3 linked regions of the Macaca mulatta genome follow. The protein of the gene in region 1 interacts with the protein of each later gene in a pairwise test. Links are inferred from orthologs where the notes say so. Each region holds a gene or a part of one and is shown in the gene's direction. Other genes may lie near its edges.

The links.
Region 2: the proteins of SSX2IP (region 1) and FAM161A interact in binary tests that used the Homo sapiens proteins (3 or more experiments, as listed by UniProt). The two-hybrid records come from large-scale screens. The link is inferred for Macaca mulatta from reciprocal best matches to the Homo sapiens genes SSX2IP and FAM161A.
Region 3: the proteins of SSX2IP (region 1) and SHFL interact in binary tests that used the Homo sapiens proteins (3 or more experiments, as listed by UniProt). The two-hybrid records come from large-scale screens. The link is inferred for Macaca mulatta from reciprocal best matches to the Homo sapiens genes SSX2IP and SHFL.

Annotation. Positions count from the first base shown.
Region 1 is NC_133406.1:155,899,945-155,903,594, forward strand, and holds part of SSX2IP (afadin- and alpha-actinin-binding protein), read left to right. Parts: intron 1-2,182; coding exon 2,183-2,293; intron 2,294-3,650. UniProt on the Homo sapiens protein: Belongs to an adhesion system, which plays a role in the organization of homotypic, interneuronal and heterotypic cell-cell adherens junctions (AJs).
Region 2 is NC_133418.1:62,896,679-62,900,328, forward strand, and holds part of FAM161A (protein FAM161A), read left to right. Parts: intron 1-1,081; coding exon 1,082-2,242; intron 2,243-2,938; coding exon 2,939-3,106; intron 3,107-3,650. UniProt on the Homo sapiens protein: Involved in ciliogenesis.
Region 3 is NC_133424.1:10,795,754-10,799,864, forward strand, and holds the start of SHFL (shiftless antiviral inhibitor of ribosomal frameshifting protein), read left to right. Parts: upstream 1-1,194; 5' UTR 1,195-1,305; coding exon 1,306-1,326; intron 1,327-1,798; coding exon 1,799-1,922; intron 1,923-2,120; coding exon 2,121-2,170; intron 2,171-2,345; coding exon of another isoform or gene 2,346-2,484; intron 2,485-4,111.

The DNA of each region.
Region 1 (3,650 bases):
CTGTGGTAGATTGCAAAGGGTAGTTGGTGACCCCCAGGCTTGTGAAAAGGTTGTGAGTTATGGATGCTACTTTAATCCAGATCAGAGAGACCTATGGAAGGTCTTATTAAGGATTGGGCTGATCCAGAGGTTGTAACCCTTGGCCATGTGTCTTATAAGTAGCTAGTAAATCATTATGGTATGTTGGTGATCTGAGGCTATTGAGCCTTTCCTTCAAGGAGTGGTCCCATTTGTTAGGACTACCCAGAGCAGAGACTGTTTCTTCAGGATGTCTTCTAATATGGGATTTGATCTAGGCCAGAATCTTGTTATTTTGAGTCAACTGTGGACAGAAATGTGTATTCAGTGGGGAAAGTTGCTAATCTATCTGGAAAAGTTTCTAGATCTAGCATATGATTAATTCAACTTGTTGAACAAAAATGTATTGCGTACGTGCTAGGCACTGAGTTTCAAAGCTGAGTGAAACCCCAGTCTTAGTTCACGAGGAGATTGCAGTCCAGGGAAAGGAGACATATTGAAACATAACTGTTTGCTTCATTAATTGTTCTTGGGGTAGGAAGCAAGGGAAGGCTTCACGGAGAGGTAACACCTGATCTGAGATTGGAAGAATGAGTAGAAATTTGCTAGTGTTTGGAAATGTCATTCTAGGCAGAGTATATGACTTGTATAAATGTGTAGCAGCATGAGATCACTGCACTTTAGAGGAACCACAAATATCTCTGTTGGGGCTGCGATGGGTATGTGATGGGTATGAAGAGTGATATGAGGTAAGACTGGAGCCTTGTCTCCAGATGGTATAAAAGGAATTGTACGAAAACAGTGAAGCACTGAGGAGTTGTAAACAGGAGGAAGATAATGTGTAAATATTCTGGCAGTGGGGTGGAGAAATTATAGGGGAATTGCAGACTTGTATTTGGGATGGAGTTAGGGGGCTCAGAAAGCCCTAGTGATAAGGATGCCTGTTAGTGACCCTTTGCTGAGGTCTTGGACTTGAACTAAGGTAGTGCTAATGGGGATAGTAAGATTGAGATCTGATGAACACTTAGGAAGTAGAATGGGTAGGATTTTATGAAAAATTGAATTTGGAGAATAGGAGTCATGAATTCAAGACCCCATTCAGGTCTCTGCCTTGAGTTACTGAGGATGGTGATGTGGTTCACTAAGAAAGGAAGGAGGGGTGCATGCGGATGTTCAGGGGTGATGCTGAGTTCAGGTAAAGTGTTGATCATCACGCGGAGCGAATTTCTGATTTGATGTATATGCTACATATCACCTGGCCTAGTGCCTGTAAGTTATATCATGCCAACTAATCTGTCCTAGCAGTAATAGTAAGTTTTACACATTCAAAAAAAGGGTGCCAAAAATTGACAACCTTAGTTATCCAGGTTATACTCCTACATTTTCTGTATCTTCTTGAGATCTGTTCTTACAGAAATTGTGCAAGTTATTATTTATGGTCGGTTATGACATAACTTGATTGGCTTTTGAATTTTATAAAAATACTAGTACAATTTAAAAAATATTCCGTATGGGTGGCCTCATGCAGAAGTTGGCACAGTTCCTCAGGAAATGCAGTAAGTTGAAAAGGAGCATCTTGTCTCATACTAATTCTGGATTTGCTGCCATTCCTCTCTGGGAAGTACCTTCAGAGACTTTACCACCTGCAGGGAGAAGTGGTGTCACACAGAAGTCCCATTTCTGTGACTCGACGTGTTGCCACTTTGCTTGGTCACCCATCTTTTTCTTCAGACGTAGCTCCAAATCACTTTTGCTTCTTTTTCAAAGCCAAGTACACTCTCGAAGGATGATGACATTGCTGTACTTGAGGAGATCTTAAAAAATGTGGTATAGAAGTGTTAAAAAGTATTAAAAATAAACTTTAAAAATATTCAGGGGCAGCATCATGGGAGTGATGCTCTTTCCAGGGATCCATTTTGAAGCACTTTTTTGTATGTGTACAAAATTTGATATGTAAATTAAAATTTGATGTGTAAATTTAAATGTTATAATTTTATAGTGTACTTTGTAATAATTCCTTTAAATAAACATTTCACGTGCCACTAACATTTGATTTTGACTAATAAACAGTAGGATGTGTAACTTCTTGTTACTGATCTTTTAAGGATTCAGTTATTCTAAATCCTTTGTTAATTTTAATCAGAATTGCATGTAAATGTTTTAGGAACAACTGGAAACTTCCAGGAGGGAAATGATTGGGCTTCAGGAAAGAGATAGACAGTTACAATGTAAGAACAGGAATTTGCATCAGCTACTAAAGAATGAGAAAGATGAGGTGAGTTGTCAGTTACTGCTGATGAAGTTTAAGTGAATTTTTGTTTTCTTTGTAGTATGAGATGACCATAAGAGCCACTTTACTTGAAAAAAGAAAGAACCATTTATTCATCTTTCCCCGAATTGGTATGGTAGACCTTTGTGTATAGTATTTAACTGGAAGGTCAGGAACCCTCTCCACCACAGCCCCCGCCACCAGTGGATCCATTTGGCTTAGATATTAGTTCATAGCTGGTAACAGCCAGTGTCCTGGACTGGCCTTCCTGGACTCATGTTCACTGTCACTTTTTCTGAGGCACAAGAGTGCTTTAAATGCAGATCTTTTATTCTCTGCTGTACCTGTACGTGATAGCCGAGGTGCCCCTTCTTGCATGCACTGTCTTAAATACTGACATTGTTCATCTAGTCAAGCAGTTTCTTCATTAAATGGGCACAGAAGCAGTTCACATTAAAAATCTAATTTCTAACACAAAAGATACAATTCTAATTTCTGCTTTAGTGGTTACTTAGCAGAATTCTAATTTCTACTTTAGTGGTTACTTGGACCTATAGCTCGAATGCATTTCAAAATATTCTTTTTTCATTTTTGTAGGAAGAAACCATTATGTTTTTATTGCTCTAAAGTATGACCTCTGACCATTTAATAACTATAAAAATATAATAGTTTCAGTGTTTTATGTTGTTTGAACTATAATTAAAGACTTCTGAGGAGTGTATTTCTTTAAAGAACGCTGGAGTGGTTTAGATAGATTTGTTTTACCATATTTGTTTATTTAGTAGTATATTTAATAAGTAGGTAATTAGTATTTAAACTGTAAGGTTGCTTATACATGTTTCCTTGAGTTCACAGACAATTCTGACTAGATCTGTTGATTACATTTAAACGGTTTGAATACAGTTCATCTTCAGTAGGGATTAAGTTAATCATGTTAATCCCTAGCAGGGATTGGGAATGGCTTTATAAAAGAATAGGACATACTCTATCAGGGGCTGCCTGAGAAACTGTAATTGATCTGAACTTTGAACAGCAGTGTCTGGCACGTAATACATACTCAGCAAATATTTGGACTGGATTATTCTGCTGTTTGGACTTACTCTTATTTGAGAATTGTTTTTAATTAGAAAAATGAGCCTGCTTACCTGCTGCCATGTGCCACAGGCTTAATTCACTTTGTCACAGATTAACAAAAAGTATAAGTGATTTTTAAGTCAGTAATACAAGGAGTTCACTTAAAATGATCAGATGAATTCAGTTTATCTCAGATGAAGCTTTAATCATTTTAATACTTCCATAAGAATATCTGGTTTTTAAATGTTCAGAGTCTATATGTAAGGTAAAAGGTACAGGAGATAATTCA
Region 2 (3,650 bases), on another chromosome or scaffold:
TAGTCAGTCAGCGATGCTTGCATGTCTCCTGTATGCCAGACTATACCTGGGCACTGAGGAGTCAAAAACAAGATGCCCTCAAGGAGCTTAGAGACTAGCTGAGAACCAAAAATTGCATTACAGCATGATGTAACAGAGTGTTACAGAGGAAGAAGCAGTTGGTTATGCCAAGCTTTTGGAGGGATGCAGGCCAGAATTTTCCACTGAAGTGTTACATCTGAGTTCAGTCTTGGAGGAGGTATAAGTAGTGGTCTTCTAGCCAGCAGCAACCATGTATGCAAAGGCAAGATGGCATGAGAAATAATATCGTGTGTGAGGAACTTCACAGGACTGGATATGAATGCAGAATGGAGACTGGGGTAGCCAGTGGTGAGGAGTAAGACTGAAAAGATAGATGCCAGTCTCAAAGGGCTTGTAATCTAGGCTTGACTTTGTAGCAGTAAGGAATTATCAAAAAGTTTCAAGCAGGAGAATGACATGATCAGATCTATGCTTCAGAACTGTGACTCTGGAAATTGTGGGGAGAATTTAATAGAGGTTTGTCACAAGGAGCCTCTGCCATCTCAGGTTCCTTCTCTGTAAAATGAAGAAGTCAAAGTAGATAAGGTATGGGCATCTCCCAGCTCTGTTCCAAATAAAAGTGATAATTCTTACAAGCCCTGTCCAGCTCCTCTCTTCTGATTATACCCTGATCTTAGAAATGTAACTCTTCGCTGGGCGCAGTGACTCACGCCTGTAATCTCAGCACTTTGGGAGGCGGAGGCAGGCAGATCATGAGGTCAGGAGATTGAGACCATCCTGGGTAACATGGTGAAACCCCATCTCTACTAAAAATACAAAAAATTAGCTGGGCACGGTGGCACATGCCTGTAGTCCCAGCTACTCGGGAGGCTGAGACAGGAGAATCAACCCGGGTGGCAGAGGTTGCAGTGAGCTAAGATCAGGCCACTGCACCCCAGCCGGGGCAACAGAGTGAGATTCTGTCTCAGACAAAAAAAAAGAAAAGAAAATATGTAACTCTTAATTTTTATATTTGGTCACATACAACTGAAAGTATAACATAGTTATTCTTCTCATTTAGATCTGTGTCAGAAAAGAACTCCTATCACCCTGTCTCATTAATGACATCATTTTCAGAGCCTGATTTAGGCCAGTCTTCCTCCTTGTATGTGTCCTCCTCTGAAGAAGAGTTACCCAACCTAGAAAAAGAGTATGCTAGGGAAAACAGAATGATGGCCTATGCTAAGGAGCTTATCAACAACATGTGGAAAGACTTTTGTGTTGAAGATTATATTCGCTGTAAAGATACTGGCTTCCACACAGCTGAGAAAACAAGGAAGAAACGAAAAGAATGGGTGCCCACGATTACAGTACCGGAGCCTTTTCAAATGATGATAAGAGAACAGAAGAAAAAAGAAGAGTCCATGAAATCTAAATCAGATATTGAAATGGTAGATAAACTGCTCAAAAAACAAGAAGAGGATCCAGAGTGTAAGAAGAAATTCCGAGCCAATCCAGTTCCTGCATCTGTCTTTCTCCCCCTTTACCATGATTTAGTCAAGCAAAAAGAAGAACGGAGAAGGTCTCTGAAGGAGAAAAATAAAGAAGCTCTTTTGGCCTCACAAAAGCCATTTAAATTTATAGCAAGGGAGGAACAGAAGCGAGCAGCCCAGGAAAAGCAGCTGAGAGACTTTTTTAAGTCTAAAAAGAAAACAAATCGATTTAAAGCCAGACCCATTCCTCGATCTACTTATGGTTCAACTACCAATGACAAGTTAAAAGAAGAAGAGCTCTATCGAAACCTTAGGACGCAGCTGAGAGCCCAGGAGCGTTTACAGAACTCATCTCCTCTGCCTTGTAGGTCAGCTTGGGGACGCAGGAACCCCACGTGTCCCGAACAGGCTGTAAAGTTGAAGTGTAAACACAAGGTTAGGTGCCGGACTCCTGATTTTGAGGACCTTCCTGAGAGATATCAGAAACACCTCTCAGAACACAAGTCTCCAAAACTCTTAACGGTGTGTAAACCATTTGATCTTCATGCATCTCCACATGCATCTATTAAAAGAGAAAAAATTTTGGCAGACATCGAAGCAGATGAAGAAAAGTTAAAAGAAACACGTTGGCCTTATTTGTCTCCAAGGCGTAAGTCTCCAGTAAGACGTGCAGGTGTAAAGCCTGTGCCTTGTAACTACAACCCTCCAGTGCCCACGGTGTCTTCCAGAGGACGAGAACAAGCTGTAAGGTAAGTAACTAAGACACAGTACTGACTGACTCAGGGTTACCAGATGAGTGTATGTAGCTCTGTGGAGTTTATGTTGGTGAATTTGAAAATATTTAGAAATTATTATTGTATCTATAAAATATTTTACTATATAATATATGACATTTTGTCAGAGAGTATTCTAAGAAATGAATGTATTTTTCATTTTATAAATTTTCGTGGATTAGAAAATATTAGTCTTAAGATTTCTAGTTTTACCTGGCCAGGTGCAGTGGCTCACACCTGTAATCCCAGTGCTTTGGGAGGCCGAGGTGGGTGGATCACAAGGTTAGGAGTTCAAGACCAGCCTGGCCAAGATAGTGAAACCCCATCTCTACTAAAAATACAAAAAATTAGCTGGGCATGTGGCAGGTGCCTGTAATCCCAGCTACTCAGGAGGCTGAGGCAGGAGAATCGCTTGAATCCAGGAGGCAGAGCTTGCAGTGAGCCAAGATCGCGCCGTGGCACTCCAGCCTCAGCGACAGAGCGAGACTCCGTCTCAAAAAATAAATAAATAAATAAATAAAAATTTCTAGTTTTACACGTCAGATCCTTTTCAAAGGGTTGCCTTTTTTCAAATTTTGAATTATCAAAATTCAAATTATCCCATGTTGAATCTTTGCTAAACAACATTCGCATTGGCTTAAAGTGGATTAAGCCTTAGTTTGTTACCCTCAGGAGATCACTTGAGGAAAAGAAAATGTTGGAAGAAGAGAGAAATCGGATCCTAACTAAACAGAAGCAAAGAATGAAAGAATTGCAGAAACTCCTGACAACCCGGGCTAAGGCTTATGACTCACATCAAAGTTTAGCTCAAATATCTAAATCCAGAGTAAAATGTCTCAGGTATCATAAAAAAATCTTGAACCTCCAGACCACTGGTTTTCAAACTTTCTTTTTTTTTTTAATCAGTAGATAGTAAAATATGAGCAGATTGAAAATGGCATTAGTGTTTTAGCTTATGGATTTAAATTGTCATCAGTTACTTATGTTCAGCACACACACACTCACCTCATGGTGAGAACCAACATATATACTCACTTTCATGGTAAGAACCATGAAGCTATGTTGAGGAATACAAACATTTTCTATTGTGGCCTTAGTTAATAGTTATAATCTTATACCAGTATCTAATCTTGTTCTTTATATTATTTTTGATTGCAGTAAACTGATATATCAAAGAGCTTTGTTCTAAGGTTTGGATGAAATCTGATAGCACAAATTAACACATTAAACATCCATTATGTGATGTGTTCATTAGCACATATGTTAATGTTTAGTAGTATGTGTTGCATTTTGTTAATTTCAATATAAAAATAAAAATATTCACGGAATCCTTAGAACCCCTTCACTAGAATTCTGCAGTACAAAGTTTGAAAACCAGTGTTCC
Region 3 (4,111 bases), on another chromosome or scaffold:
GGGGGTGTAATTTTAACAGTTTTACCTATAGAGGTGTGCAATGGAGAAAAAAATTTAGAGTCGTTGAACACAATGCTATTTTGCCCCTCAGAGAGTATCTGGCAGTCTCTGGAGACATTTTTTGTAGTCACAACAGGGAGAGTGAGGAGCCACTGGCATCTAGCAGGCAGTGGCCAGGGATGCTGTTAAATGTCCCCCAACACACAGGACAGTCCCCCACACAAAGAACCAGGCAGCCCAAAGTGTCAAGAGTGCTGGGCTTGAGAAGCCCTTGCCCGAAAGCCCCAGACTTAGTCTTGTTTTGGGGGCTCTGCACGGCTGCCTCAACTCCCCACTCTATTCGTCCCCGAGCTAAGACCTCCAATTTCAGTGACTGTACAAAGCATCCCCTCCTCCAATGAAGTAGCCATCTCTGTGTCCCCAGGCTGGGCCAGAGCCCCACCACCTAACGGCTCCCTGATGCGCCCTGTACTGGGTTAGAACTGTCCAGCCCACGGGGTTCTTAACCATTGCAGATTCCCTGGATCCCTGAGACAGCCGGATTCTACCGGGCAACGAGAGACCAAGAATCTGTGTTTTTCTCAAGCACCGCTCCCCGCAACCACACACACACTGCCTGCCCCTATCAAGGGCACACAGCAGGTGGCCCAGTGACTAGTTGAGTGCCTACTGCAAGCCAGGCGCTATTACGCGATCCACTCGGGAATCTTGGCACATACTCCACTCCATGGTGTAGAGACCAGGATCCTCCCCATTTCACAGAGGGGTAAACTGAGGTTCAGAGAGGTGACCCTAGCTAGGACAGAGACTCAGGGCAGGAAAAGCGCCCAGGTCCTCATGAGCGCCAGATTCCCGGGGAAGGAGGGAGGACAGAGAGGAGGGTGATGAACTGGGGGAGCGCGCGCTGGGTGGGGGGGCGCGGGGCCTCGCCGCGGCCTTCCGATGCGGCCCCGCCCCCACGAGGGACGTGAAGACGCGGACCCCGCGCAGCGTGGGGACATGTGACCGACTGCAGAGGCCGCGCCGCCTCCCCCGCCCGAGGTCTGCGCGCTCCGCCGCAGGGTGCAGACCCGGGGCGCCCGCCTGGGTTTGGGGCGCAAGAGCAGAGGCGGAGCCAGGGCGGAGCCAGCGCGCCCGGTCCCCCCTGAATCGAAAGCGAAACAGGGGCTGGGGAGGAAGGGCGGAGCCGGCCCCGAGGCACCGCCCCCTGCCCTGCGCGGCTGCTGGACCGACGGGCGCGCCCAGGTAGGGGGGCGGCTGAACCGCGCAGTGCGGACCCTCGCGGGGACCTGCGCCGCCGCCACCATGTCTCAGGAAGGTGTGGAGGTAAGAGATGGCTACGGCTGGGCCGGGGGCAGACGCGACAGACTCCGAGGAGCGGCCGAGAAGCGCGGAGGGGGCTTCGCAGTTCCTGGGGACCCCCATCCTAGAACCCCAGATCTTTACCCCTGCCTGGCGCTCACCCCCCTTGAAAAGGAAAGTGACTCCCACGTTTCCCCAGAGCGAAATGAGGCCTCTCCGAGGAAAAGCGGGGGCTGCAGGGTCAAAGGTCAGAGGCCAGAGATAACCTGGCCGCCCCCCCACCTTAGGCTGGGACGCTCGCCTCAGTCCGCGCCCTCCCCCAGCGCCATGTGGGGACTTTGGCTTTTTCCAGGAAATGCCGTAGAGGGATGAAAGGGGGGGCGGCGGAGGCCAAAACCAAGGGTCAAGTTCAGGCCGGGAGAACGGTGCCTAGAGATGGGGGAGGGACGATCGCGCTTCCCCTTCGCCCACCGGAACCCCCCTGTCCCCATCCCAGCTGGAGAAGAGCGTCCGGCGCCTCCGGGAGAAGTTTCATGGGAAGGTATCCTCCAAGAAGGCGGGGGCTCTGATGAGGAAATTCGGCAGCGACCACACGGGAGTTGGGCGCTCCATCGTGTACGGTGAGGCTGCTGGGGTCCCGGGCCTGGTGCGGAGACCGCGCGTGGGAGCGCCGAGGGGGCGTGGTCTAGGGAGAGGCGTTGAGATCACCTCCCCCGGAGGTCCCAGCCTCGGGGAGGCTCTGCATCGCGGCTCTGGGTGGCCTGGAACTCCCACAGACCCTTCAAGGGCCCTTCTCTTATACGCACTCTCCCCCGCAGGGGTAAAGCAAAAAGATGGCCAAGAACTAAGTAACGATCTGGATGCCCAGGTAACCTGTCCCCTCCCCTCGCAAAGGACCGGGTCACGGGAGGGACAGCAAGAGGGGGGACCCGACCGGTTCATGGTGACTGACACTTCTCTGAAACAGGAGGGACCAGGCATTGTCGGTCCGTAACTCATCACCCAATATCACTTTTTCACCTCTCTATCGTTTGTCCGGCCAGGGAGCCTGCAAACAGTAGGTGCTCATTATGCGCTGATTGTATTCAAAGGCGGACAGCCATGAAACTAGGCAATGAAAGGAGTCAGGATTATGGCCATCGTGGGGGGGCAGAGATCAGAGAAGACTTCCTGGAGGAGGAGGTACCAAGTCTTAAAGGATGGAGAGGAGTGAGCCCTGGGAGGGGAAAGGGAAAGAAAGGCAGGGGCCTTAGGGTGTGGGAGGGAATGGCATGAGCAAAGGCTGGGAGGTGGGGAAGGGTTGTTAGTGTCAGTCTCTAGAAAGGCTGGGATGAGCAGGGGATTGGGGAGGAGAGAGAGGGAGGGGAAGGGAACCCTTGTGTTGAATGAATGAATGAATGAATGAATGAATGAATGAATGAATGAATGGCTTTGAAGCACAGGTGCATCATGGCTACTTTGCTTCTTCGAAAGCTTTGGTGATGGGAACACTGTGGATTTCGCCTGCCTGAAAGGCTCAGTGTAGGGCTGTTACAGTATAATAGGCCTGGCGCCATGGCTCACGCCTGCGATCCCAACACTTTGGGAGGCTGAGGCGGGCGGATCACCTGAGGTCGGGAGATTAAGACCATCCTGGCTAACATGGTGAAACCCCATCTCTACTAAAAATACGAAACAACAACAACAACAACAATTAGCCAGGCGTAGTGGCAGGCGCCTGTAGTCCCAGCTACTCAGGAGGCTGAGGCAGGAGAATGGCGTAAACCCGGGAGGCAGAGCTTGCAGTGAGCCAAGATCGCGCCACTGCACTCCAGCCTGGGCAACAGAGCAAGACTCCGTCTCAAAAACAAAACAAAAAACAAAAAAACCCAGAGGATAGTAAAATATGTATCATAGTCTACATTTATACATATAAAAGTATGATAAAAATGATAGCAGAGGGGCCGGGTGCGGTGGCTCACGCCTGTAATCCCAGCACTTTGGGAGGTTGAGGCGGGCAGATCACTTGAGGTCAGGAGCTCGAGATTAGCCTGGCCAACATAGTGAAACCCCGTCTCTACTAAAAATACAAAAAATTAACTGGGCGTGGTGGTGCATGCTTGTAATCCCAGCTACTTGGGAGGCTGAGGCAGAAGAATCACTTGAACCTGGGAGGCGGAGGTTGCAGTCAGCCGAGATCACGCCATTGCACTCCAGCCTGGGCGACAAGAGTGAAACTCCATCTCAAAAATATAATAATAACAATAGCAGAGGGTAGCATTCATTGAGTATTTCCCATATGGCAAGACTCCAGGAATTGATTTATTTCATCGCCACAGTGACCCCAGGAGACAGGTCCTGTTATTTATCCCCATTTCACAGACAAACTGAGGATGAAGTCACTTGCTAGGTTCACGAAGCAAGCAGGTGGCAGCTGCGATTTGAACCCTGGCCACCTGGAGTCAGAGTCTGGGCTCTAACATGCCTGTCAGTGGGAACCCAGGAGGCAGGGAGTGGCTTGTCCAAGTCCCCACAGCTGGAAGTGATAGAGCTGGGATTCGAACCCACATCTCTCAGTCCAGATCCCCACCACTTAGCCAAGCACAACATGGCCTCAAAGGGGCGATATTGTCACAACACCAACAAGCATGTGGCATTTGCAGGCAGGAAGTGAGTACGGGGGTCAGGCTGGCCTCACAGGCAAGCCCTCCCCTAAGCCTCAGTTTCCCCATCTGAGCAATAAGGTAACAGGTGTGCCCACCTCTCAGGGCTGCTATGAGGACAACTGAGGCCACACACCTGGCTCTCAATATGTGGGCAGTGCTCTGTG